Arabidopsis thaliana: one gene and its partners. The protein of the gene in region 3 purifies or fractionates together with the protein of the main gene of each other region. This does not show direct contact. Each region holds a gene or a part of one and is shown on either strand. Other genes may lie near its edges.

What was found.
Region 1: the proteins of PPC2 (region 3) and 2-Cys Prx B fractionate together in Arabidopsis thaliana (co-fractionation; one large-scale study listed by BioGRID). This does not show direct contact.
Region 2: the proteins of PPC2 (region 3) and AT5G01320 fractionate together in Arabidopsis thaliana (co-fractionation; one large-scale study listed by BioGRID). This does not show direct contact.
Region 4: the proteins of PPC2 (region 3) and AT4G33070 fractionate together in Arabidopsis thaliana (co-fractionation; one large-scale study listed by BioGRID). This does not show direct contact.

Annotation. Positions count from the first base shown.
Region 1 is NC_003076.8:1,916,674-1,922,127, reverse strand, and holds 2-Cys Prx B (2-cysteine peroxiredoxin B), read right to left. Parts: upstream 3,049-5,454; 5' UTR 2,749-3,048; coding exon 2,521-2,748; intron 2,121-2,520; coding exon 2,046-2,120; intron 1,929-2,045; coding exon 1,847-1,928; intron 1,758-1,846; coding exon 1,678-1,757; intron 1,504-1,677; coding exon 1,378-1,503; intron 1,259-1,377; coding exon 1,145-1,258; coding exon of another isoform or gene 1,112-1,144; exon of another isoform or gene 1,034-1,111; coding exon 917-1,033; 3' UTR 703-916; downstream 1-702. Other genes in the region: LOG7 (Putative lysine decarboxylase family protein), read left to right, coding at 1-86; AT5G06280 (uncharacterized protein), read left to right, coding at 3,279-3,749.
Region 2 is NC_003076.8:128,515-133,963, forward strand, and holds AT5G01320 (Thiamine pyrophosphate dependent pyruvate decarboxylase family protein), read right to left. Parts: upstream 3,174-5,449; 5' UTR 3,112-3,173; coding exon 2,593-3,111; intron 2,507-2,592; coding exon 2,343-2,506; intron 2,266-2,342; coding exon 1,615-2,265; intron 1,515-1,614; coding exon 1,208-1,514; intron 1,141-1,207; coding exon 970-1,140; 3' UTR 749-969; downstream 1-748. Other genes in the region: APTX (APRATAXIN-like protein), read left to right, coding at 129-446; PDC3 (pyruvate decarboxylase-3), read right to left, coding at 4,024-4,194, 4,276-4,582, 4,855-5,449.
Region 3 is NC_003071.7:17,733,446-17,741,214, reverse strand, and holds PPC2 (phosphoenolpyruvate carboxylase 2), read left to right. Parts: upstream 1-2,047; 5' UTR 2,048-2,305; exon of another isoform or gene 2,306-2,405; 5' UTR 2,406-2,535; coding exon 2,536-2,703; intron 2,704-3,037; coding exon 3,038-3,429; intron 3,430-3,518; coding exon 3,519-3,603; intron 3,604-3,677; coding exon 3,678-3,900; intron 3,901-3,980; coding exon 3,981-4,084; intron 4,085-4,181; coding exon 4,182-4,266; intron 4,267-4,362; coding exon 4,363-4,517; intron 4,518-4,798; coding exon 4,799-5,797; intron 5,798-5,887; coding exon 5,888-6,274; intron 6,275-6,380; coding exon 6,381-6,674; 3' UTR 6,675-6,913; downstream 6,914-7,769. Other genes in the region: GRF9 (general regulatory factor 9), read left to right, coding at 7,440-7,512, 7,740-7,769. UniProt on the Arabidopsis thaliana protein: Through the carboxylation of phosphoenolpyruvate (PEP) it forms oxaloacetate, a four-carbon dicarboxylic acid source for the tricarboxylic acid cycle.
Region 4 is NC_003075.7:15,951,291-15,957,072, reverse strand, and holds AT4G33070 (Thiamine pyrophosphate dependent pyruvate decarboxylase family protein), read left to right. Parts: upstream 1-2,269; 5' UTR 2,270-2,396; coding exon 2,397-2,927; intron 2,928-3,019; coding exon 3,020-3,183; intron 3,184-3,254; coding exon 3,255-3,905; intron 3,906-3,995; coding exon 3,996-4,302; intron 4,303-4,383; coding exon 4,384-4,554; 3' UTR 4,555-4,816; downstream 4,817-5,782. Other genes in the region: AT4G33060 (Cyclophilin-like peptidyl-prolyl cis-trans isomerase family protein), read right to left, coding at 5,119-5,259, 5,466-5,633. UniProt on the Arabidopsis thaliana protein: May play a role in ethanolic fermentation during anoxia.

The DNA of each region.
Region 1 (5,454 bases), on a different chromosome or scaffold from region 3:
TTGATGAGATAACATCAAAATTGGTTTGGGATGAAGTGGACCGGATAAGTTATGTACCGGGTTCGGAGGTAGCTACCGCTACGTAAGGATGTATTATGGGGAGTTTATTTTTTGGTAAAAGCAGTGTACAGCGGAAATTAAGTTGTTTAACATCAGAAGGTAAGGGCGGAAAGAAGACAAAAGAAAGTATTGGGGTCGTTTTGATAAACATTATTTTGTAGGGGTGGTTTAAATGTGTGAAGTGGATAAACCATGTGGGTAACTGCTAACCGCGTATATACCAAACCCTATCACTCCCCACTTGTCTTTGTACATTTTGGTTTAATGGAAAAAAAGGATAGGGCTATTTTCAAGAAATGACAAAACGATCCTTTTCTTTTGGTTATTTTCTGATTTTATCCATAACTTCTAGTTTTTAACTTTTTTCTCGTGTCAAAGGTATCAGATTTTTATTTAACCAGAAAATTATCATGTACGATATTTTTTAATTAATCCGAGTGGAGAATATTCCGAGTAATACCACAACATAATTTTGTTGTCGGCTACAGATGGAGATTAGCTTAATGAGCACTCAAGTTTATTAAACAAATCAATCAGATAGTTATCTAATTCCAGGGAGCTGTGACCTCACATGATATTTTTCTAATTTATTTTTTGCAATGGTCAAAATACTCTGCCTCTTTGCATTATTATAAACTATTTACACAAGTGAAAGACATAAATATTGGCAAAAGAAAAGAAGGATTTCTTTATTTTTGATTCAATTTAAGGAGAATCACATAGCAGAAACAGGAGAAAGATGAGATAGATACAAAGGTTCTTTGGCTAAAAATAACAACTCTGCTCCAACTTTGAAAAGACGAATAAAACAACTCTGATTGCTAATTTTCACCAAACATGTGTTCAATCTTAGCCTCTAGATAGCTGAAAAGTATTCTTTGCTGAGCTTGGGGTCAGGTTTCATTGATTTCTCCCCTGGCTTCCATCCCGCAGGGCACACTTCATCCGGGTTTTCTTGAACATACTGTAATGCCTGCAAGACAACATCACAAGAAGCAACAAATAACGCATCTAAACCCTAAACCTCAAAAACAAATCTCTCTTTATCTATCTATCTCAATGATGTGATTTTTCTCTTTATTACCTGGAGGGTTCTCATTGTCTCATCAACACTTCGGCCAATACCGAGGTTGTTGATGGTGGAATGCTGAATGACTCCTTCCTTGTCTATGATGAAAAGCCCTCTCAGTGCAATGCCCTGTACTTATATATTAGCAAAATGCTTTGATTCAAAGTGGCTATACGTTACTTGAAAGAACACAAGTGGATTGGACTCAATGCAAGTATGATGCAACTATGTCAGAAGAAATCGTTTACCTGATCAGGGATGAGCACTCCAAACGATTTTGAAATGGATTTAGTGATATCCGAAACAAGAGGATAATTCAGATCACCGAGCCCTCCCGACTTTCTGTCTGTTTGGACCCACGCAAGATGCGAGAACTACATGAACATGGAATCAAACGTTCCATTATCCAAAAGAAAACGTTCCATTCGATTATCAGACTGCCACTTGCCAAGGTTCTGAGTACATCAAATACTTGAAACCATTTTTCAAAATGCTGAGACCAGAATGTTCTTTCTTGGTTCAGGTGGAGAAATAAAAATTTGACTTACCACACTGTCGACAGAGACCCCTAATACTTCGGTGTTTAGCTTCTCAAATTCTTCATAACGGTCACTGAAGGCAGTAATCTCTAGAATAAGCAAAGAAAAATTGGAAATTTCAGTGACTATGAGGGCGAGAGTTTCAGTTTTGAAGCTATTTCCTTAGCAGAATACTAACCAGTGGGGCAGACAAAAGTGAAGTCCAAAGGGTAGAAGAATAGAATAACATACTTTTTGCCAATGTACTCAGAGAGCTTCACCTGAAACCATGATTCATAGGTCGATTACTATCAGAACATTGCTCTACTGCATTGACCTTAGCTTATGACACTTAACTAACTAACATGTTAAATAAGGTTTGAATGGAATGAAAGTACCTTTATGAACTCTTGATCAAAAACTGCCTCAGCTTCAAAATCAGGCGCCTTATTACCGACCAGTGGTAAATCATCCTGCATTCATAAAACATATAAACACTAGTCAGTCATCGATCATCGAATTGTTTAACCACACAAAATGTTCTTTAACTGGTGTTCACTATCTATGCAGGGCTCAAAAGATTTCTGTGTATGAGCCAAATGTGAATCATATTAATTAATTTCAGATCATTTCCTCCCATCCCTAATTAAACCCGAAAGAAGGGTAACAAAAATGTCGCTCAATTCAAATCGCAGAACTCTAAAAAGTTTAAAGTTTAGTCTTTTATCCAATGATCTCAAAACCCTTAAGAGATAAGAAGCAGGAAAATAGTACGGATCCCATTATAACAAGCTAACGAATTCATACAACAATCATAGTGAATGAGAAGATGGAGCAAATACAAGAAATTTATGGCATTGCGAGTCAACTTACAGCCTGAGCCTTGACGGCGAAGTTCCGGCGTGAGGCGGAGCGGTTGGTGGTGAGGGAACCGAGACTGGAGAACCCGGAACAGAGAGAAGAGGATGATGCCGAGGAAGAGGGTATGATTCTGGGGAAAGAGACGGTAGGAGATAAAAGAGAAGACTTGGAGGGAAGAAGAACCCTAGAGGAAGAGAGTAGGGTGGTGGAAGAAGAAGAAGCTATAGACGCCATTGACATTGACTCTGTTCTCTCTCTCTATCTCTCTGTGATTGGTTACTTAAAAAAGAGGTCTTGTGGTTTGGTTTGAGGATGAGGTGGATAAACGTGAGGGCGTGAGAGAGACGAATCGGATAGAGAAACCAAATAGCTGCTCTTCTAGATTTTTCAGACAAGAAGAAAGAAGTGGAATGTTCGATGAACCGGAACGACACCGTGTTGATGATCATACTTTGATAATTAAATCAAAATCTATTTTTAGGCTGGTTGGATTTCCGAATATATTTCCATCTAATCTTCACATCAAAAATAGTAATCAATCCTTAAATTTTGTAATTTGCCTACTATCTTCCATTCCAATCATAATAATTAAGAAAATACAAATAAAGTAAACGTATCTCTTTACTAATTAATACAACACAAGATAGTGACAAATGTACATATCATAGAGATCAATAATTGGACCTCCTTCCTTACTTTAAACACTCGCAAAACCCAATCAGCCACAAACTCACAAACAAACCAAACAAAAAAAAAGAAGAAGAAAGACTATGGAGATTCCGCCGTCACAATCTCCGGCGACTCAACTCCGCCGTACAAAATCCATATCCAACATGACGACTCTAACTCCTCCAGAAGTTCCTTTCGACATAGCTTCAACGCCGCCGTCTTCGTTCGATTACGAGCTCATCTCCGTAAAACCATCCTCTTTCGTAGCTTACACTTCTCTCAGAGATATCATCTCTTCTCCGATTAACTCTTCACTCAATTTACCGTCGATCAACGGTAGCTGCTCTCCTGTTATATCCACCGCCGCCGGAGATATCTCGATTCGTAACCGTCTCGTTAAGCAAGCTGCTTTGTCTTATCTTCAACCAACGGTGCTTACTTCGTCAGATGATTCTGCTGGTTCTCAATTCTTCCGCCGCGTTTGGCTTCACTTATCCGCCGGGTTTCAGTTCTTGCGACGTGTGTTTGATTGGATTTTTCAATCGTTTCGTGTTCCTTTGATTGTCAAATAAACTTTGATTTGGTGAGAAAATTGGATTTTTCATGAATTGAATTGTATACAATAAAGTGTTACAATATTCAAAACATATCAAAGGAAAAATCTTTTTTTTTTTGTTCGTCTGTGGTCAATTTGAAGTCATGTGAAACTCCGGTTAACCGGCGGTTTAAAAACCCGGTTATTGAGATTGTGGCTTAGAGTAGTATAGCAGGCACCTTCTAACGGAGAAACATTAAAGAAGTTCTTGTTTGTTGTTGATCTTTTGACTTTGATTGGTTTTTATTCTGTAGACAAAGGAAGTGATGGATTTGGTGAGAGTGCTCTGATGCAGTAAAGCTTGAGGATGTATATGTTTGTTTTGAATACCTTATAGATGGTGAATTGTTGTTGCAATTGCTTGAAGATTTGGAGGCTCCAGTGGAAGATACATTGCAGTAGTTGAGCAATTACTAAATGTCCTCTTATCTTTAAGACAGAGATTCCTTGATCGATGTCAGATTCATGTTTTGACATGTATGGACATAGTAGCTTCTCGTAGACATAGCTAAGTCCCTGTTAGAAACCAAGAGAAGAAGATTGGTCGTTTTGTGAATCTAAGAATGAGAATGAATTCTCATTAGATTTTTATTGCATTGTACTGTAGTTAGTACCTGTGATTTCGGGTAACATAAGTAGATGAGAAGAGCGATTTTGATCTCTCCGTAGAGTGGTAACCTGCGGATAGATGAGATGAATCAGAAGGTTTCATACAATAAAGAAGCATATGATGGAGATTTGAAGTTTGACATATAAGTACTAACCATGATACAATGATGTCTCCTATCCTTTCGAAAACAGTAAGAAGAGCCACCAAGATCCTACAAATCAAATTCGGATTTTTGATAAGATGGTTATGAGAATAAGATACCCTTATCCAAAAAAGGAATCTTCTTTATTAACAATTAGTAAGCTTTACCAATATTGGCACCAGTATCTAAGTTCGTGAATCTCAAGCTTTTTCTTTTCCACGCTTTTGTAGCATCCATATGCAGGGTACGCGTAACCCACAAGCAATCTGCAAATTTTCCAGAAAATCTAAGAGAAAGAAGAACGAAAATGCCTAAATATAAAACCAGATGAAGGAAAGACGAGAGAGAAAGAGGGTCTAACATTATGATTCTTGTGATGAAATCTCCGAGCATCTTTGCATCAACTAACAGACTTTAGGGTTAGAGTCTTGAATCAAACCCGAAATCCGGATAAACTGGTTCATTAAGAGCATATATAAGAGAAACCAAATTAGGTTTCTGAAAAGTTTCAGGAAAACTGCAAATGAGAGAAAGAGAGATAGTTAAATCGGAGAAATGATTACAGGAAATGGGAGAGAAGAGAAGCAAAAGGTTTAGTTTGAGATTGCTTCAAAAAGACGCTTCTTTTATAATTTAGTACTATCTTTTAGAGAAAGCCTCAGTGAACGTTGCATTCCTTGGGATGCCGAATTTGTTTTTTGTTTATTATGCCAAACCGTTGTAACCGTTTCGGGTCAAACTCTACCTGAATTATTGTATATGCATATACTTTTTTTCTTCAATTATATATAGGTGAGAAAAATGGATCACCAAACTAAAAATTTATCATCATTGTAAGCTACAGTTTCCCTGTATTTAAAATTTAGACGTGAAGATATAGGCCCGATGTTTTCAGACGAAAAAATAAAGACAAGATAAAGGCCCAATTAA
Region 2 (5,449 bases), on a different chromosome or scaffold from region 3:
GTTTCCCCTGAGTGTAGACTTCAGATTTGCACTTTCTGTTCGGTCGTTTTAGAGGTTAAACCTAAGAGTTCATTAGCAAAATCATTGAAATTGATATGTTTAACATACATTGAGTTTTTCTCTTTCAGGTTCCCTCGATGCGACAACTACACTTACACGTTATAAGCCAAGACTTTAATTCAGATAGTTTGAAGAACAAGAAACACTGGAACTCTTTCACGACCTCGTTCTTCCGTGACTCAGTTGATGTACTTGAAGAGGTCAACAGCCAAGGCAAGGCCAATGTGGCGAGCGAAGATCTGTTGAAAGGTGAGCTGCGTTGCAATCGGTGTAGAAGCGCACACCCAAATATTCCAAAACTTAAATCACATGTCAGAAGCTGCCATTCTCAATTTCCAGACCATTTACTCCAAAACAATCGCCTTGTGGCTAGAGCAGAGACGTAGTAGTTATAACGACCGGTTCTATTTCGGTTAGGATTTTTTTTTCTTTGTTATCTAATTGTTACGGGTAATATATATTGTGATTTTGGTTCAGATTCAGTCTCTGTAAAAATTCATCTCTGTTCTTAGGTTTTCATCTTCTTCTGGTTATTAAGTTTTTGATTTTGTTCTTGAGTTATAAACTTAAATGGCAAGAAAACAAGACAGATAAAAAGAAAAAAAAGTCAAATAAATTTTAACCCAATTGAGATGTAAGATGGTTTAAAAATGTTTGATTTAGGTTGAATCAATTGATTTTTTTCGGACTTTACATATAAGAAAAAGCACAAATATTGAAGAATATTAGGGAAAAAGGGAATTGTATTACACCATCAATGGTAATGGTACAGTACAACTAACTGGAAAGTATCAAAAGCAATTAAAACCAACGGTCGAAAATTCGAAAATTCGAACAGAAAACAATCTAATTCAATTGCAAAGAAACGAGAGATGCTTGAGTCACACTCAAGATTCTTTTCTCTTGCTTCTACTGAGGATTGGGAGGACGACCATTAGCAGCTGAGACGCGAGATCCCCACTCAAGCAACTCTTTGCTTGTATCATCTTTGTGAACAATCACTTCAATGAAACAAAGACTATCTTTCTTCTCCGTTGTCGCAGTCTTAATCGCTTCCACTAACTCCTCCTCGTATCTCACCTGCCAAACACAATGTTACTTCAACACCAAATTCATACGTTAGTTACTAGTTGTAATCATTAATTACCTTTGTGGTCCAGCATTTTCCTTCACCGTTATGAATAGCATCGACAAGACCAGTGTAGTTCCAGTTCTTGATAACATTGTAAGGACCATCATGAATCTCAACTTCAATGGTGTAGCCACCGTTGTTGATCAAGAAGATGATCGCCTTCTGTCCGTTACGAATCATCGTGGATATGTCCTGAGCAGTCACTTGGAAACTCCCATCTCCAATGAAAGACAACACTCTCTTCTCCGGGGTTGCTTGGGCGTATCCTAGAGTCGCACCAACAGACCAACCAATGGATCCATACTGCATCTGAAACTCGTACCTACAATATAGAGAACAACTTTTCTCAAAACTTGTGTTTGTTTCGCTATTGTCACAATGTTAGAAATGTCAAAGATTCAGTTTCTTTGTTAGACACGTACCCACATCCTTTAGGCAGCTTTAGCTTCTGACAATTGAACCAAGAATCACCAGTTTCAGCAATCACAGCGGTTTCACTAGAGAGCATCTTCTGAATGTGTTGGAACATTGCGTTGACCCTCAATGGCTCTCCTGGTTTGCATTTCAATGGCTTACCTTCAGGTACAAAGATCCTCTCATAGTTCTCATAAGCTGTCTCGTTACGCTTAACCCTCTTAGCCAACTCCCTGAAGAAATCGCTCATCAGAACGCAACCAAACGTTGGACCATTAGCCACAACGACTCGATCAGGATGCACAATTATTGCTTTTTCTTTCTTGAGGAGAAGAGAGTAACCTACGGAGCTGTAGTCGTTGAAGATTGGACCTGCGAAGATGTAAGCATCCGCAGATTCGACAATCTCAGAGCAGAAAGGTGTGCTTACTGCTCCCCAGTAAGTGCCAATGAAATGAGGATGGTTCTCTGGTACAAGGCCTTTTGTAGAAGGCATCACTGCGAGAGGGTAGCCTGAAGCATCAGCTAGCTCCAAAAAGGCCTCACTTGCTTTAGCCACACGCAACTTTGGGCCACCAACCATAACTGGCTTCACTGCCTTGTTCAGAAACTCCAATGTTGCTTCCACCGCAGCTTCTAAACCCATCGTGTTGCTCATCCTAAGAAACAATACATACAATAGTGAGAAATCTAAAACAAACGTTGATTCGATGAGTCTGTTTAGAGTAATGATTACCTAGGAGTTAGGTCAAAAGGGACAGGATCACGAGCAAACGTAGGATGAGGAGTTGCAGCTAAGTTGCAACTGATGCTAATGTACACAGGCTTGCTCTCTTTCAAAGCTGTTGCTATCGCCTTGTCGATCTGTTCATGAGCATCCTCCAAATTGTTCACCACAGCCTGAAAACAAACACATAGTTAAAATCTAAGCAAAGGAGATATATATGTGATGATCAAGACTAGTTGATATTGAAATGTGTTAATACCTGGTAGCAAGTAACAGTTTGGAAACACCTAAGCTCTTGGCTAAAGTCAGGTAAACCGATGGTGTGATGAAGAATCCGGTTAGTGCCAAAATCGTTGGAGTTAGGACCTCCAACGATACATATAACTGGTAGGTTCTCACTGTACGCACCAGCGATAGCGTTCAAAACGCTGAGTCCACCAACGGTGAAAGTCACGACGCAAGCACCGACTCCACGAGATCGAGCGTATCCATCGGCGGCGTAACCGGCGTTAAGCTCGTTACAGCATCCGATGTTGTTGAGCTCTGGCTCGGCGATGAGGTGGTCGAGAAGAGTTAGGTTGAAATCACCGGGAACAGAGAAAACATCGGTGACTCCGGCTTGGACAAGACGGCGGGATAAGTGACGTCCTAGAGTCGATTCGGAGGTTGTGGTGATGGGAGCGGAGTCTTGGATTGTTGCGACGGCGTTGCTTGGTGGACTTCCGATGTCACCAGTTGTTGGCTTACACGTGTCGATGGCTCCAATTTTGGTGTCCATTGGAAAGCTTATTATGAAGAAAATGAAACCTTTTAGTATTTATTTTAGTGGTGATGATGAGTAATAAATTGGAATTATTAGATGGGTTATATAGTTGTACATGTTGATTAGTGCAAATTACATTCGGTTTCTGACTTCCTTGTGCCAAAAGCATAAAGATTTACTGAAATATTTTTGCAATTTTCTTGCTGTCATCTTACATTTAGTTACTTTTTTACAGATAGAAATTTACTTATATAAATTGATACTTATATACACGAAACACGGACGTTTTATTTTGCACTAAAAAATTTATAATTTTTTGTGATACGAAAAGACATTTTACGTTAGAAGATGATGAAAATAAATTTATTTTCAAACTATATTAGAGTATAACATGGATTTTTTATTTTATTTTTGTTATTAACTATATATGTATCTTTGAACTTGTTTGCCAAGATGAACCATTAATGCAGCATTAAGTCTCTGATTTTCGTCTTAACTATGATATAACTTACATTAAGTAGCTGCCAAAGAAACGAAAAAGAACCTAAAGAAATACTAGATTCGTATTGTTCAAGAATTTTATTACCTTATATTGAGAAGTTAGTATAATTATTGGAACTCAATAATTTACATGCACGTAAAGGCATTAATAAGATTAGAATATTCCATCCTGATTCCATCAACAATTTTCATTTCACGTTTAAGAAAAAGCAGAAATATTGAAGTTTATAATGAAAACTTTGTCAACAAGGGGTTCCCTAATATGAAGGATATTAAAAGCAAAATCAATTAAAACCAGCGGTCAAAAAATCGAAACCAGTACTTAATTAGACATAAGAGAAAGAACAAAAGTAGCGATGTGATTAGATTGCCAATAAACGATAGATGCTTGAGCGACACTCAAGATTCGTTTCTTTTCTCTTGCTTCTACTGAGGATTGGGAGGACGACCATTAGCAGCTGAGACGCGAGAGCCCCACTCAAGCAACTCTTTGCTCGTATCATCCTTGTGAACAATCACTTCAATGAAACAAAGACTATCTTTCTTCTCCAATGTCGCCGTGTTAATCGCTTCCACTAACTCCTCCTCGTATCTCACCTACCAAAAACACAACATTCATAATGTTACTCTTCAACCCTGGACTCATATGTTTAATTTCCAACTGTAAACATCAATTACCTTTGTGGTCCAGCATTTGCCTTCACCATTATGAATAGCATCGACAAGACCAGTGTAGTTCCAATTCTTGATCACATTGTAAGGACCATCATGAATCTCAACTTCAATGGTGTAGCCACCGTTGTTGATCAGGAAGATGATGGTCTTCTGTCCGTTACGAATCATTGTGGAAACGTCCTGAGCCGTCACTTGGAAACTTCCGTCTCCAATGAAAGACAACACTCTCTTCTCCGGTGTTGCTTGAGCGTATCCTAGAGTCGCACCAACAGACCAACCAATTGATCCATACTGCATTTGAAACTCGTACCTACAATATAGAGAACAACGACTTTTTAAAACTCTTGTGTGTTTTTTCTTTTCCAGAGAATTACTAAAAAGTTCTGGGGATATCTATATAGGCCCATAAATCATCTCAGGCTAAATACCAAGGCATTTTATATCGTTTCCAACCAAGTACATATATACCACCACTCTTTAACCAGCAATTTCTAGATGTTGACTTTACTAGATGAGCTTATATTGACTGCTTCAACAATGTTAAAAGGTAAAAGATTTAGTTTCCTTTTTCTAGATACGTACCCACATCCTTTAGGCAGCTTAAGTTTCTGACAATTGAACCAAGAATCACCAGTTTCAGCAATCACAGCGGTTTCATTAGAGAGCATCTTCTGAATGTGTTGGAACATTGCGTTGATTCTCAAAGGCTCTCTTGGTTTGCATTTCAAAGGCTTACCTTCAGGGACAAAGATTCTATGGTAGTTCTCATAAGCCGTCTTGTTAGGTTTCACCCTCTTAGCCAACTCCCTGAAGAATTCGCTCATCCGAACGCAACCAAAGGTAGGACCATTAGCCACAACGACACTATCAGGATGCACAATGATGGCTTTTTCTTTCTTGAGGAGAAGTGAGTAACCAACGGAGCTGTAGTCGTTGAAGATTGGACCTGCGAAGATGTAAGCATCCGCGGACTCGACAATCTCAGAGCAGAAAAGAGTGCTCACTGCTCCCCAGTAAGTGCCAATGAAATGAGGATGGTTCTCTGGGACAAAGCCTTTGGCAGATGGCATCACTGCCACGGGGTAGCCTGAAGCATCAGCTAGCTCCACAAAGGCATCCCTAGCTTTAGCCACACGCAACTTGGGACCACCGACCATAACGGGCTTCACGGCCTTGT
Region 3 (7,769 bases):
TATACCATTAATATCAAACATCACCCATCACATAAGTTACGAATGTCCATTTCCGCACCGGACTTAACTTGTTTGGAGAAAATGTAATATCACTCATGGCAATAATCAACCATGTATGCACATTGATTAAAATGTGTTTTCCCGATGGAGAGCAAATATATCTTATTCGAGTGATCAAGTTCATAAAGAGCTCGAATTAGTTATGCTTTTATTCAAAGTAGAGCAATTTCATAAAACTATAATATATCTTAACTGTAATAACAGATCAGCTGGCTAAATACTATGATGCTACTACTGAAGATGAGATTGCAAAACATAAAACTTGTGGCTTGATGAGTTCATATAGAAGATATAATAATTATGCAAACCAAAATATGTATACGTACGAATCTTCTTTTACCATACGGATCGTCGTCGGATACTGCTTGTCTTTTTCTCTGTTTTTTTCTCCTAAATATCACATATATATTCAATGTGAGAAAGTATGAGAAACAGGACAAAATATAGATATTGGTTCGTAAAGTTTTTAGTGGCTAGAGTTAAATAAGGAATTAAATGAGAGCAAATCTCTTTGATATACACCTCATATCAATGAAAAAACTTAATATTGGTGTATTTGTTTCTTTCGTCCGACTCTTGAAGAATTAAAAGGTTATATACAAAAAAAAATTTGCCCTTTCACATTTTCTAAAGATCATATCATCTTTGATATAATCGTTTGATGCATGTTTACTCATTCATAAACATTTTATAAAATCTTCTATATTATTTTGATTCGAAATTTCACACTCAAAACATAAAATTTCCAAGGATAACCAATGAAATGAATACACAAGATATAATATAAGTTATCACCATAAATTACATAATCAGTATAGATAAAGAAAATGTTCTGAATACCAATTTAGTTTATAAATTTATTTTTTTCGTTTATGATTTATCAATGGTTCAGTTGAGTGGTTTTTAATTAAAAAAATAATATTTTGTTCAACAAAAATTCAGAACGATGGTTGGAAAAAATAAATTAAAACAATGCGTATATTGGATTAAAAATAAATCATATTATATGATTCTATTTGTCCGGGATTTATAAATTGATATGATACGATAAGGTCAGTGATAAAATAAATTGATAAGATAAGGACTTTATATGATTCTATTTCCACCCGTTGGAATCTTTGGTTGGCTATTTATTCTTAGATTCGAGAATCAATTAGCGAAAACAAATACTAGTTTAAAAAAGAAAAAAACTATATGATAAGAGACCGTAATAGACGTGGTACGTTTTAAGTCAAAGGTCAAAAAGCCGAATTATATATTTCTGGCTCCTTCCACAACTTTTGGAAAATTTCCTTCGTAGTTTTCACTTGAACCCATTTTTTAACAACAATTCTTCTACTTGGATTGATAATTCAAAAGGAAACTAACTCTCCCATAGTTAAAACTGAATCACTGTTAAAAAAAAAAAAAAGTAAAGTAAATATACTAAATCAATGTTTTTTTCTCTGGAAGTAAATATACAAGTTTAAAATTAAAGGAGAAGAGAAGCTATATATTGCTTTGCCTCACCATTTAGGAGATAATTCATATGAAGCAAAGAAAGCATATCCTTTGGCATATTCGATAATATATGGCATCTAATCATCTGTATAAGCTTTTCATATTTTTGTTAGATGCTTTTTCGTACAAATGCATTAAGATAAAATTAAACAAAAAAACAAGATATGATATTCAGTTTCGTGAAATATTAAAAGAAGTCAAAAAAAGGGAAAAATGAAAAGTCGAATTGGTGGACAGTGGACTCATTGGTCCACTTAAAAGTCATCAGAACCGTACACATGCAAGCTTGGTCCATTTTCGTATGACGACGTACAAGTTACAACATTCAAAAAACTTCCTAATTTACAAGTTTTTGCTTATGTTTATGGGAAATATTTTTCTGCAACGAAAAATCATTAAGACTATATTTTTCTGTTGGCAAAGACTTGACTCAGTCCCTTTTTACTGCCCATTAGTAATCTTTGGAGTGAAAATACGAATTTAACTAATTTTCTAAAATTTGATTAAAGTCTAAGAGAGAAAAAAAGATTTCGGCTATAAATAAGTTACAACTACACATCGAATGGACTAGAAAATTTTCGCTTCTTATATTTTTTTAAAAAGAAAAACCAAAAAATCCTTTGAAACTTTTTTAGCCTGTCGCTTCTCTTTCCATCGTCTTCCTCGTGAACGAAACTTCTCGATCTTCTTTTCTTTTTTTTCACCTGTTTTTCGGTATCACGAGAATACTACACTTCCCACTCCAGTAATACGCCACTCCTTCTTTTTTTTTTTGTCTCGTTTAAATTTTTATAAACTCCATAATTTTATCTTAAAGTGAATCTTTTTTGTTTTTTTTGTTCCAGCTTTATCGGATATATTTCCTTGATTTTCTCCGATTGTGGTCAATCTGGAAAATTATTGAGAATCTCTCCCTCACTTAACCAAAAGCGTTTTTAATCAGATAGAGAGAGAGGAAAAAGCATCAACCAAACCATGGCTGCGAGAAATTTGGAGAAGATGGCTTCTATTGATGCTCAGCTCAGGCTTCTTGCTCCTGGCAAGGTTTCTGAAGACGACAAGCTTATCGAGTACGATGCTCTGTTACTGGATCGATTTCTCGATATTCTTCAGGATTTGCATGGCGAGGATGTCAGAGAATTCGTATGTTTTCCTCCTTTTCTCACTCTTTCTTCTTTCTTAAATACTGGATTTTTGCTAAAATTTTGAACTTTTAGTTACATAGTGGGTTACCCATCAGTGAATCATCATGTGGGTTTGTTGTTTCTGCTTAGATTATCCATAAAGTTGAATCCTTTTCAGTGATATCGAGCAGATCAGATCACACTGTGTTAAGATTGTTCATGTTATTCTCTGTTTTTGTTGGGTTTGTGAGTATATTTGTTTGCTTCAGTGGCTCATTGAGTTTGCATCTGTGATTGTTTCTGATGATTTTCAGTTTACTGAATCATATAATGTCTTTTGTTTTGTCTAAAAGGTTCAAGAATGCTACGAAGTTGCAGCTGATTACGATGGAAACCGCAACACTGAGAAGCTTGAGGAGCTTGGAAATATGCTGACGAGTTTGGATCCAGGGGATTCAATTGTTGTCACTAAATCATTCTCCAACATGCTTAGCTTGGCTAATCTGGCTGAGGAAGTCCAGATTGCTTACCGGCGTAGGATTAAGAAACTCAAGAAAGGTGATTTCGCTGATGAGGCCTCTGCAACAACGGAATCTGACATTGAAGAGACTCTCAAGAGGCTTTTGCAGCTTAACAAGACTCCTGAAGAGGTCTTTGATGCTCTTAAGAATCAGACTGTTGACTTGGTTTTAACTGCTCATCCCACTCAATCTGTTCGTCGGTCTTTGCTCCAAAAGTTTGGAAGGTTTGTTTAACTTTTTTAGTGTCTTGACATTTTGGATTCCTTGTGTGTGTGACTTGACTGATGTATTTTTTTGTCTCAAATGTTTTCAGGATTCGTGATTGTTTGACGCAGTTATATGCAAAGGACATTACTCCTGATGACAAACAAGAACTCGATGAAGCTCTGCAACGAGAGGTAAGCGAAACTAAAGAACTCAATAAAGCTTCTTTTGCATGAATTCTACTAAAACTCTGTTTTTGTTGCACCAGATTCAAGCTGCTTTTCGCACAGATGAAATCCGAAGAACTCCTCCTACACCGCAAGATGAAATGAGAGCAGGGATGAGCTACTTCCATGAGACAATCTGGAAAGGAGTTCCAAAGTTCTTAAGACGTGTTGACACAGCTTTAAAGAACATTGGAATCAACGAGCGTGTTCCTTACAATGCGCCTCTCATTCAGTTCTCTTCTTGGATGGGCGGAGACCGTGATGGTACACTCTTGCTTCTTTCTTATCTCAAACCATTAAAACATGAATTGGTTCTTATGAGTGAAAACATTTTCTGAATCTAGGAAACCCGCGAGTAACTCCTGAAGTTACAAGAGATGTATGCTTATTAGCTAGAATGATGGCTGCTAATCTCTACTTCTCCCAGATAGAAGATCTTATGTTTGAGGTAGCAAAAATTTTATTCACATCACAGCAATTTAGTTTATTGGTTAATGTTAAGGACAGAGATCTTATTTTTTTTGGTTTGATGTGTTTGTTTGCAGATGTCTATGTGGCGTTGCAATGAGGAACTTCGGGTTCGTGCAGAACGTCAAAGATGTGCGAAGAGGGATGCAAAACACTATATAGGTGTGTGTTACATTCTTGACATTTTTTTATGTGTCCGACATGTTAACAGTTTGTTATATTATGTTTGATGTATGATCGATTTTTGGATGGATGTAGAATTCTGGAAACAAATCCCTGCGAATGAGCCATACCGAGCTATTCTTGGAGATGTGAGGGACAAGCTGTACAACACACGTGAGCGTGCACGTCAGTTATTGTCAAGCGGAGTTTCGGACGTTCCCGAAGACGCGGTTTTCACAAGTGTGGATCAGGTGTGTTTTCGTGCTGTTTGCAGATCAACTAGAGATGTTTAAGCCATATAACTGCAACTTCAATTCCTTTGAAAATTAGAATCGTATTTGATTAAACATGGAAGCTATACCATACTGATGCATAGTTTATTTGGTAACTATTTTTCTAAATTTGAAAATCCCAAACCAAAAGAGAACCAAAATATGGATTGAACCACTCTAAGATCAAAGCTGTTGTTTGTTTCTTGTTTGATTGATTTTATAATTTTCTAACCTTTGATTGTTTCTGTTTCTATCCAAAGTTTTTGGAGCCACTTGAGCTTTGTTACAGGTCGCTCTGTGATTGCGGTGACAGACCTATTGCTGATGGAAGCCTGCTTGATTTCTTACGCCAAGTGTCAACATTTGGCCTTGCTCTTGTGAAACTTGATATCCGTCAAGAATCTGAAAGACACTCTGATGTCTTGGATGCCATCACGACGCACTTAGGTATTGGTTCTTACAAAGAATGGTCGGAGGATAAAAGACAGGAATGGCTGTTATCTGAGCTAAGCGGGAAACGCCCTCTCTTTGGACCGGATCTTCCCAAAACCGAAGAGGTTGCAGATGTGTTGGACACTTTCAAAGTCATTTCTGAGCTTCCTTCGGATAGTTTTGGTGCTTATATTATCTCAATGGCCACTGCTCCATCAGACGTGCTCGCTGTTGAGCTTTTGCAACGCGAATGCGGGATCACTGATCCTCTGAGAGTTGTCCCGTTGTTCGAGAAGCTAGCGGATTTAGAATCCGCACCTGCTGCAGTTGCCCGTCTCTTCTCCATAGAATGGTACAGAAACAGGATCAATGGAAAGCAAGAAGTCATGATCGGGTACTCTGACTCGGGCAAAGATGCTGGTCGTTTATCAGCGGCTTGGCAGTTATACAAGACTCAAGAAGAGCTCGTGAAGGTGGCAAAAGAATACGGAGTCAAGCTGACAATGTTCCACGGAAGAGGTGGGACCGTTGGACGAGGAGGTGGACCTACCCATCTTGCTATTTTGTCTCAGCCTCCGGATACCATTCATGGGCAATTGAGGGTAACGGTTCAAGGTGAAGTTATTGAACAGTCTTTCGGAGAAGAGCACTTATGCTTTAGGACTCTTCAGCGTTTCACAGCTGCAACACTTGAGCATGGAATGCATCCACCGGTTTCCCCTAAGCCTGAGTGGCGTGTCCTCATGGATGAAATGGCTATAATTGCCACTGAAGAATACCGTTCTGTTGTCTTCAAGGAGCCCCGTTTTGTTGAGTACTTCCGTCTGGTAAGTTCTTAACCAGCTCAATTACTCCTCTCTTAAACAAATTGTAGTTAAAAAAGAGAGTCTAAGTTCAGGTTTGGGTTTGTATTATAGGCAACACCAGAGCTCGAGTATGGAAGGATGAACATAGGAAGCCGACCATCAAAACGTAAACCAAGCGGAGGAATCGAGTCGCTGCGTGCAATCCCGTGGATCTTTGCGTGGACTCAGACGAGGTTTCACTTACCCGTGTGGCTTGGCTTTGGAGGAGCATTCAAACGCGTGATACAGAAGGACAGTAAGAATCTCAACATGCTCAAAGAGATGTACAACCAATGGCCATTCTTCCGTGTCACAATTGATCTAGTCGAAATGGTTTTCGCCAAAGGAGATCCCGGAATTGCGGCTCTGTATGACCGCCTCCTCGTCTCTGAAGAACTTCAACCATTCGGTGAACAACTTCGAGTTAACTACCAAGAGACCAGACGCCTCCTCCTCCAGGTATTACTTACTTCCACTATAACCACATTATAGATGTCCCATCCGGTTTCCATGCGGTGTCAGACCATACAAGCTAACTTAACCCGTGCGTTTCGTACCTTTCCAGGTTGCAGGTCACAAAGACATTTTAGAAGGTGACCCTTACTTGAGGCAAAGGCTGCAGCTTCGTGACCCATACATCACGACATTGAACGTGTGTCAAGCCTATACACTCAAGCAGATCCGTGACCCAAGCTTCCACGTCAAAGTCCGGCCACATCTCTCTAAGGACTACATGGAGTCTAGTCCAGCGGCTGAGCTCGTGAAACTGAATCCAAAGAGTGAATACGCACCGGGACTTGAAGATACGGTTATCCTCACCATGAAGGGTATCGCTGCTGGTATGCAAAACACCGGTTAAGGCAGTTTAAAACGTTCTTGTACCATTCCCTAAATCTACGCTATGTAATGTATTATGTTCTATGATGTGATGAAATCTCTCCAACTCCTATCCCGTACGCTTTTTAATGAGTATGATAATTTCTTGTGTTATTCTATTGTTGTTATGTTACCATATCTAGGAAATATATTTCTGAAAGAAACAAGAAAAGAAATCTTTCTTTTCGTTCTAAGATGTTGAAATTACCATTCGTAATATATAAACTCCAAAAATTAAACACTTAAATCCAAAAAATAAACTCTAAATTTTAAACACGAAAATTTGGACAAAATAGGTATGTCATTAAATTCATTTTTTTTGGAAAAACAGTTCCTTAGTTATTCCCTAATGAAGATTAATTCCTTCTAATGTTATATAGTCCATTATTTGAATAAAATATAAAATTGTGCTGAGAAGATAAAGTACAATTAAAATGAGTGGACTGGTGGATAGAGAGTGATGACATGTCATGATATGGTTAGACAGAGAAGAACCAAATGGATCCCACGAGGAATAATATAATGAATAAAATCACTTACTGACACAGACCATTGAGTAGTAATTACCCCGTTTAACCCGCGTTAATTACGCTTGTGTCCCTACGCGCGTCTCAAAGATCTCTCTCTTCTCTGGAGAAAAAATAAAACAAAAGAACAGCGTTCGCCGAGAGATATACATACTCGGATCAGTCGTCAAAAGCTTTGGAATTTGATACTTTTGATTTTTCGAGAATCTTGAAAATCAGTCATGGGTTCTGGAAAAGAGCGTGACACTTTCGTCTACCTCGCTAAGCTCTCTGAGCAAGCTGAGCGTTATGAAGGTAAGGAATCTTCTTCTTCTTCTTCTCACTCGAATCAGGTCTTTTTGATAGCTTCTTGAGCTCGATTTCTGTTTGATTTTACTGGACTTTGATATCATCGAACGGGTTTCAATCGTTTGGTTTGATTGAGAGTTTACGAATGGGGAACTTCTTATCAAGGAATTAGATTCAAAAGTCTTGATTTTTAGCAGATGGGTATTGAAAAATGTGAATTCTTTTTTTCACAGAAATGGTGGAATCAATGAAAAGTGTTGCGA
Region 4 (5,782 bases), on a different chromosome or scaffold from region 3:
AACTTTTATGCCATATGAACTGTTTTCTTATATTAAAGATTGAAAATGTTTTATGGGGAAGAAGATTACATGATTGGATAGGAATCTTGAATATCTCTACAAAAACGGCCTTGTTTCTAATCAATCTATGCCAAAGTCAATCCGTTTTTTATAACCCAAATTAGCTATAAAACCTACTGCTATATAAACTGGATGCAACGGGACAACCAAATGCATTATGTAGTTTTCCACTTATCGAAGAAATGAAATTGATAATGTGAGACTTCTGTAGCAGAAAGCTCATCATGATCAAGCCTTATAAAACATTTCAAAATCTAATTCATAATGAAAATTTGCCTAGCCATTTAACTAGCTAGGGCCATTAGGCCCAATGTCCAAATAGCCTGAACGCTGGGAAAAAGTGGGGCTTTCGGAACAGAACAAATAAAATTTGACGCACTTTATTGTGTTGCAAGCTACTTCTTGAAGTATATATTTTGATTCTCGAAACGTCTTCAGTTCTGTACAAATTTAAATATTCTATTGAAAAAGAAATCTTGGTCGTCGTCGTCGAATCGGATACGTTAACGTTACGACATACGAGTCACCATTAGGGCCGTAGACGAAATACTAGGAGACGCATGAAGGTCACGTGTATCACCGTTGCAGCACATAAGTTTTCACCTCTCAGTATTGAACATGCGCCGTATTTCAATTTCAAGCTTATAAGAATATTATTTTCTGTTTTGTCTCGTCACGTAGAAGAACACTCAACACAACGGGTCATATAAAAACAATCAATTGACCAATTGAAACACTTACCATTAGCTTTACTAAAACAAAAAGTGCTACAGCTCAATTATTTCGACGTACTTTTTTTTTTTTTTTTTTTGGTCTTTTGTGGCCTATTTCGACGTTCTTTAAAACCACGATCATAGTGGTTTGGGATATAGTAATTAATTTCATGTGTTTAACCAAAAGGTAGGAAAAGTAATTAATTATTAGTTGTTGAGAAATCAAGTTGCAAAGGAGATTACCGGCGACTCCGTTGGTTTATGAAACAAACAATGAGACGGTTTAGAATGACGGTGGCCCCAATATTTTAGGTCTGCTCATATTATTTTGAATGATTTAATTTTTTTTATTTAAATAAGGTACCCTTATATACATAAATGATTTAATTTAGTAAAAGCTTTTGTTTATATTGCTTTTATACAAGTTTTTGGGTATGACTATTTTAACCTCAATCCTCAAAACTATAAAATCTATTATTGCACGCTTGGATTTTATATATATATATTCAATCTATAAGAACTAAAAAATAAAAGTGATCATAGTCAAATAATTTTTGCATAAATACTTAATATTGCTACCCAAAAAAAAGAAAATTGCATAAATTTATGTATAATTACATTATGAAAAATTATTGATATGTTGATATACAGTTTTCTAGGAAATATCAATATGAAAAGAAAAAAAGAAAAAAAAACATTGTAAGCTATTTCCCTTGAATTACACTATATGTATGTGTGACAGTATATATGTGTGAGCTTAATCATATAATTACCGTAACATCACTATTGATCTTGAAAGTTACGACGACAAAAACAAGATTCCATCATAGATCTACGTGTATCTTTTGTGTGATTAGTATATAACCAAAGCGATTAAGTGAATTTAAAATTTGTAGATATTTCTTACTTAACTGATTATACTATAAGAAGCAAACCCCAAAACCATCTGCATCTCAACGACGATAATCGTCCGAATATGTTTTTCTAATAGAGTTTGCTGACCAAATGCAAATGGCATCACGTCTCTTGCCGTTTGACGCTAGCAATTACACTTCTTCATTGAAACTTTAAAAGTGAACCCAAAGAATTAACTCAATAATAACTGATGAGTATACAAATTATTGTTTCCGGCTAAAAACCTGAAATTAACTCAAATTTGGAATGGGGATATTATAACTTTGTTCCCACGTATAACAAATTAGTTCATAATTAAGAGGAGAATCACAAAAATAACTGATGTATTGATGTTCAATTTTGGAAAATTAAGATATTTCCAATGGTAATAATCTGTTACAGCCTTACTGGGAGTAGTATGATACTAAAACAGTAAATGCATTTTAGACCGACATAAACAATAATTAAGAAGAAGAATGTTTGGGTCAAATCTCAAAGTTAGATATTATTTTTTTGCTTTTTGCACAAGAAAACAGAAACCAAAAACCACTAGTCAAAAAACCACCCATGTATTCCTCCTAGTCTCTAATCCAACAACTATATAAAAACCTCTCCCATTCTCATTTTGTTACTCATCCCAAAAATAAAAAGAGTATATCTCTCACACACATACACAAACTTGACAGTTTTTTAATTTCTCTGTTAGTGAACTCAAACCTTCCCATTTCCATGGACACCAAAATCGGATCGATCGATGATTGCAAGCCGACGAACGGCGACGTCTGTAGTCCAACAAACGGCACCGTCGCAACAATCCACAACTCTGTTCCTTCCTCCGCTATCACCATCAACTACTGCGACGCGACTCTCGGCCGTCACTTAGCTCGTCGTCTCGTCCAAGCCGGCGTTACGGATGTTTTCTCTGTTCCCGGAGATTTCAACCTCACTTTGCTTGATCACCTCATGGCTGAGCCGGACCTCAACCTAATCGGATGTTGTAACGAGCTAAACGCCGGTTACGCTGCCGACGGTTACGCTAGATCTCGTGGAGTCGGCGCTTGCGTTGTTACCTTCACCGTTGGTGGACTCAGCGTTTTAAACGCGATCGCTGGTGCTTACAGCGAGAATCTTCCTCTTATCTGTATCGTCGGAGGTCCTAACTCTAACGATTATGGCACTAACCGGATTCTTCATCACACCATTGGATTACCTGATTTTAGCCAAGAGCTTAGGTGCTTCCAAACGGTGACTTGTTATCAGGTAATCACAAAAAATCAGATCTAATTAGAAATATTTTGAAGATTAATTAGCGTCGGATTATGAATGATTTTGGTTCTGTTTTTGTTTCTCAGGCGGTGGTGAACAATTTAGATGATGCTCATGAACAGATTGATAAAGCAATATCAACAGCTTTGAAAGAGAGCAAGCCTGTGTATATAAGTGTAAGCTGTAACTTAGCAGCGATTCCTCATCATACATTTAGCCGTGATCCTGTCCCTTTTTCTCTAGCTCCAAGGTAATTTATACTTGAACTCTGATCAATACTCTGTTTCTGCGAGAATTAAAACTCACAAATGGTTTTATCAGATTGAGCAACAAGATGGGTTTAGAAGCTGCGGTGGAAGCAACATTGGAGTTTCTGAATAAGGCTGTGAAGCCAGTTATGGTTGGTGGTCCTAAGTTGCGTGTGGCTAAAGCTTGTGATGCCTTTGTTGAGCTAGCTGATGCTTCAGGCTATGCTTTGGCGATGATGCCTTCTGCGAAAGGCTTTGTACCAGAGCACCATCCTCATTTCATTGGAACTTATTGGGGAGCAGTGAGCACTCCTTTTTGCTCTGAGATTGTGGAATCTGCGGATGCTTACATTTTTGCAGGTCCAATCTTCAACGACTATAGCTCTGTTGGTTACTCGCTTCTCCTCAAGAAAGAAAAAGCCATCGTTGTGCAACCTGATCGTATCACTGTGGCCAATGGTCCTACTTTTGGTTGCATTTTGATGAGCGATTTCTTCAGGGAATTGTCTAAGAGGGTGAAGCGTAACGAGACTGCATATGAGAACTACCATAGGATCTTTGTCCCTGAAGGTAAGCCATTGAAGTGTGAATCAAGAGAGCCATTGAGAGTTAACACAATGTTCCAGCACATTCAGAAGATGCTCTCTAGTGAAACCGCTGTGATTGCTGAAACCGGTGATTCTTGGTTCAATTGCCAAAAACTAAAGCTGCCAAAAGGATGTGGGTAAGTGTCCAGAAAAAAAAAGAGACTCTAATCTTTACACTTATTATAGTGAAGTAGGCACAAGATTTGAACCTGCTTTCTTCATTGTAGGTACGAGTTTCAGATGCAGTATGGATCGATTGGGTGGTCTGTTGGTGCAACTCTAGGATACGCACAGGCATCACCAGAGAAGCGAGTGTTGGCATTCATCGGTGATGGGAGTTTCCAAGTCACGGTTCAGGACATATCAACAATGCTGCGTAATGGACAGAAGACGATCATCTTCTTGATTAACAATGGTGGCTACACCATTGAAGTAGAGATTCATGACGGTCCTTATAACGTGATTAAGAACTGGAACTACACTGGTCTCGTTGACGCCATTCATAACGGTGAAGGCAATTGCTGGACTGCAAAGGTAATTAAAAAGATTGATGACAATGGAGTTTTAGCCAGACTTTGGTTATAAACTAACATATGAATTTGGTGTGTTTGACAGGTGAGATACGAAGAGGAGTTAGTGGAGGCGATTACGACAGCGACGACGGAGAAGAAAGATTGTCTATGTTTCATAGAAGTGATTCTTCACAAGGATGATACGAGCAAAGAGTTGCTTGAGTGGGGCTCACGCGTCTCTGCTGCTAACAGCCGTCCTCCCAATCCTCAGTAGAAGAAGCAACACAGAATCTTCAATGCTTCTTACCAATTTAGTGACATTTTCTGATAAGTGTTGATTTTTCGACCGTTGGGTTTAATCATGTTTCAAACTTATTAGTATCTCTTTCCATGTACGCTTTATCATGGAATAAAGTAAAGCTCCTTTTGCAGTTTCATTAGATTGAACAAATCCAAATGGTTCAATCTAAATCAATTTGGTTAATATCATATGATCTTTTTTGCATTTAAACTTGCTAAAAAATCGAACTAACCATGTTTTGCTAGAATTTTGAACCACATATCCTAGTGAAGAATACCATCCAACCTGGATGACCAATCTATTGAAGATAAATGTCAGTTGAAGGGCTTAAAATCATATCACTTATATAGCTAAGTTTCCTACATATAACATGTATTAACACATTAGTTCTGTATCATTGGAGCTAGTGACCTTATTTAAGATGCTCATTCATGTCTCTGAATGTATCTAAGTTTAAACAGGAGAGATTTTGACAGTGAACGGGCATCTTAAGGATCAACATAAGAAAACAAAATTAAATGGTTAAGATTTCCAAACTCAGGCAAGAGATTTTCCAGACCATTCTCGCTCCCTTCGTTTTTGTTTGGCTTGCATTCTGTTGAACTTCTCTTTTCCCTTTTCAAGAAGAGGGTCAACCACCATATACGCATCTGGATCATCCCTGCGTGACATTTTATCCTGCAGGATAGTTTCACACTGTCAGGTTCTTCCACAGGACACTATAAACACAAACATAGCTCAGCCTTCTGATGAAATCATTTGTGATTAGCATGCACTATCCTATGAACTACTGGATTTTCGATTTTAATGTTAACTAAACAGAACAACGTAGTAATGAATCCATTAGATCCGCACTCAAGTGAGATGGAACCTTAGAGATTTACCTTGCCACGCTCAGGAGCAAACTTGAGCTTTACATTCTTCCAATCAGAGAGATCTTCTTCTTTATTGTCAACTGGTTCACTACTCGAGGTCAACACTACTGGTTCATTACTCGAGGTAAACGGTTTTGCAGAGATAGACTGCTTAAACTTCTCGAGTTTTGCTAACACCTGAAGAAAACGCAGGAGGGAAACGATGATCAGTTCAAGTAACAACTGAAAGAGTATCGAATTAGATGAGTAGTAATACAGTTGCTCTGACAAAATTAGATTTAACTTTTAGGGAATAAGTATGCCACAATAAAGCAAGGACAAGTTTA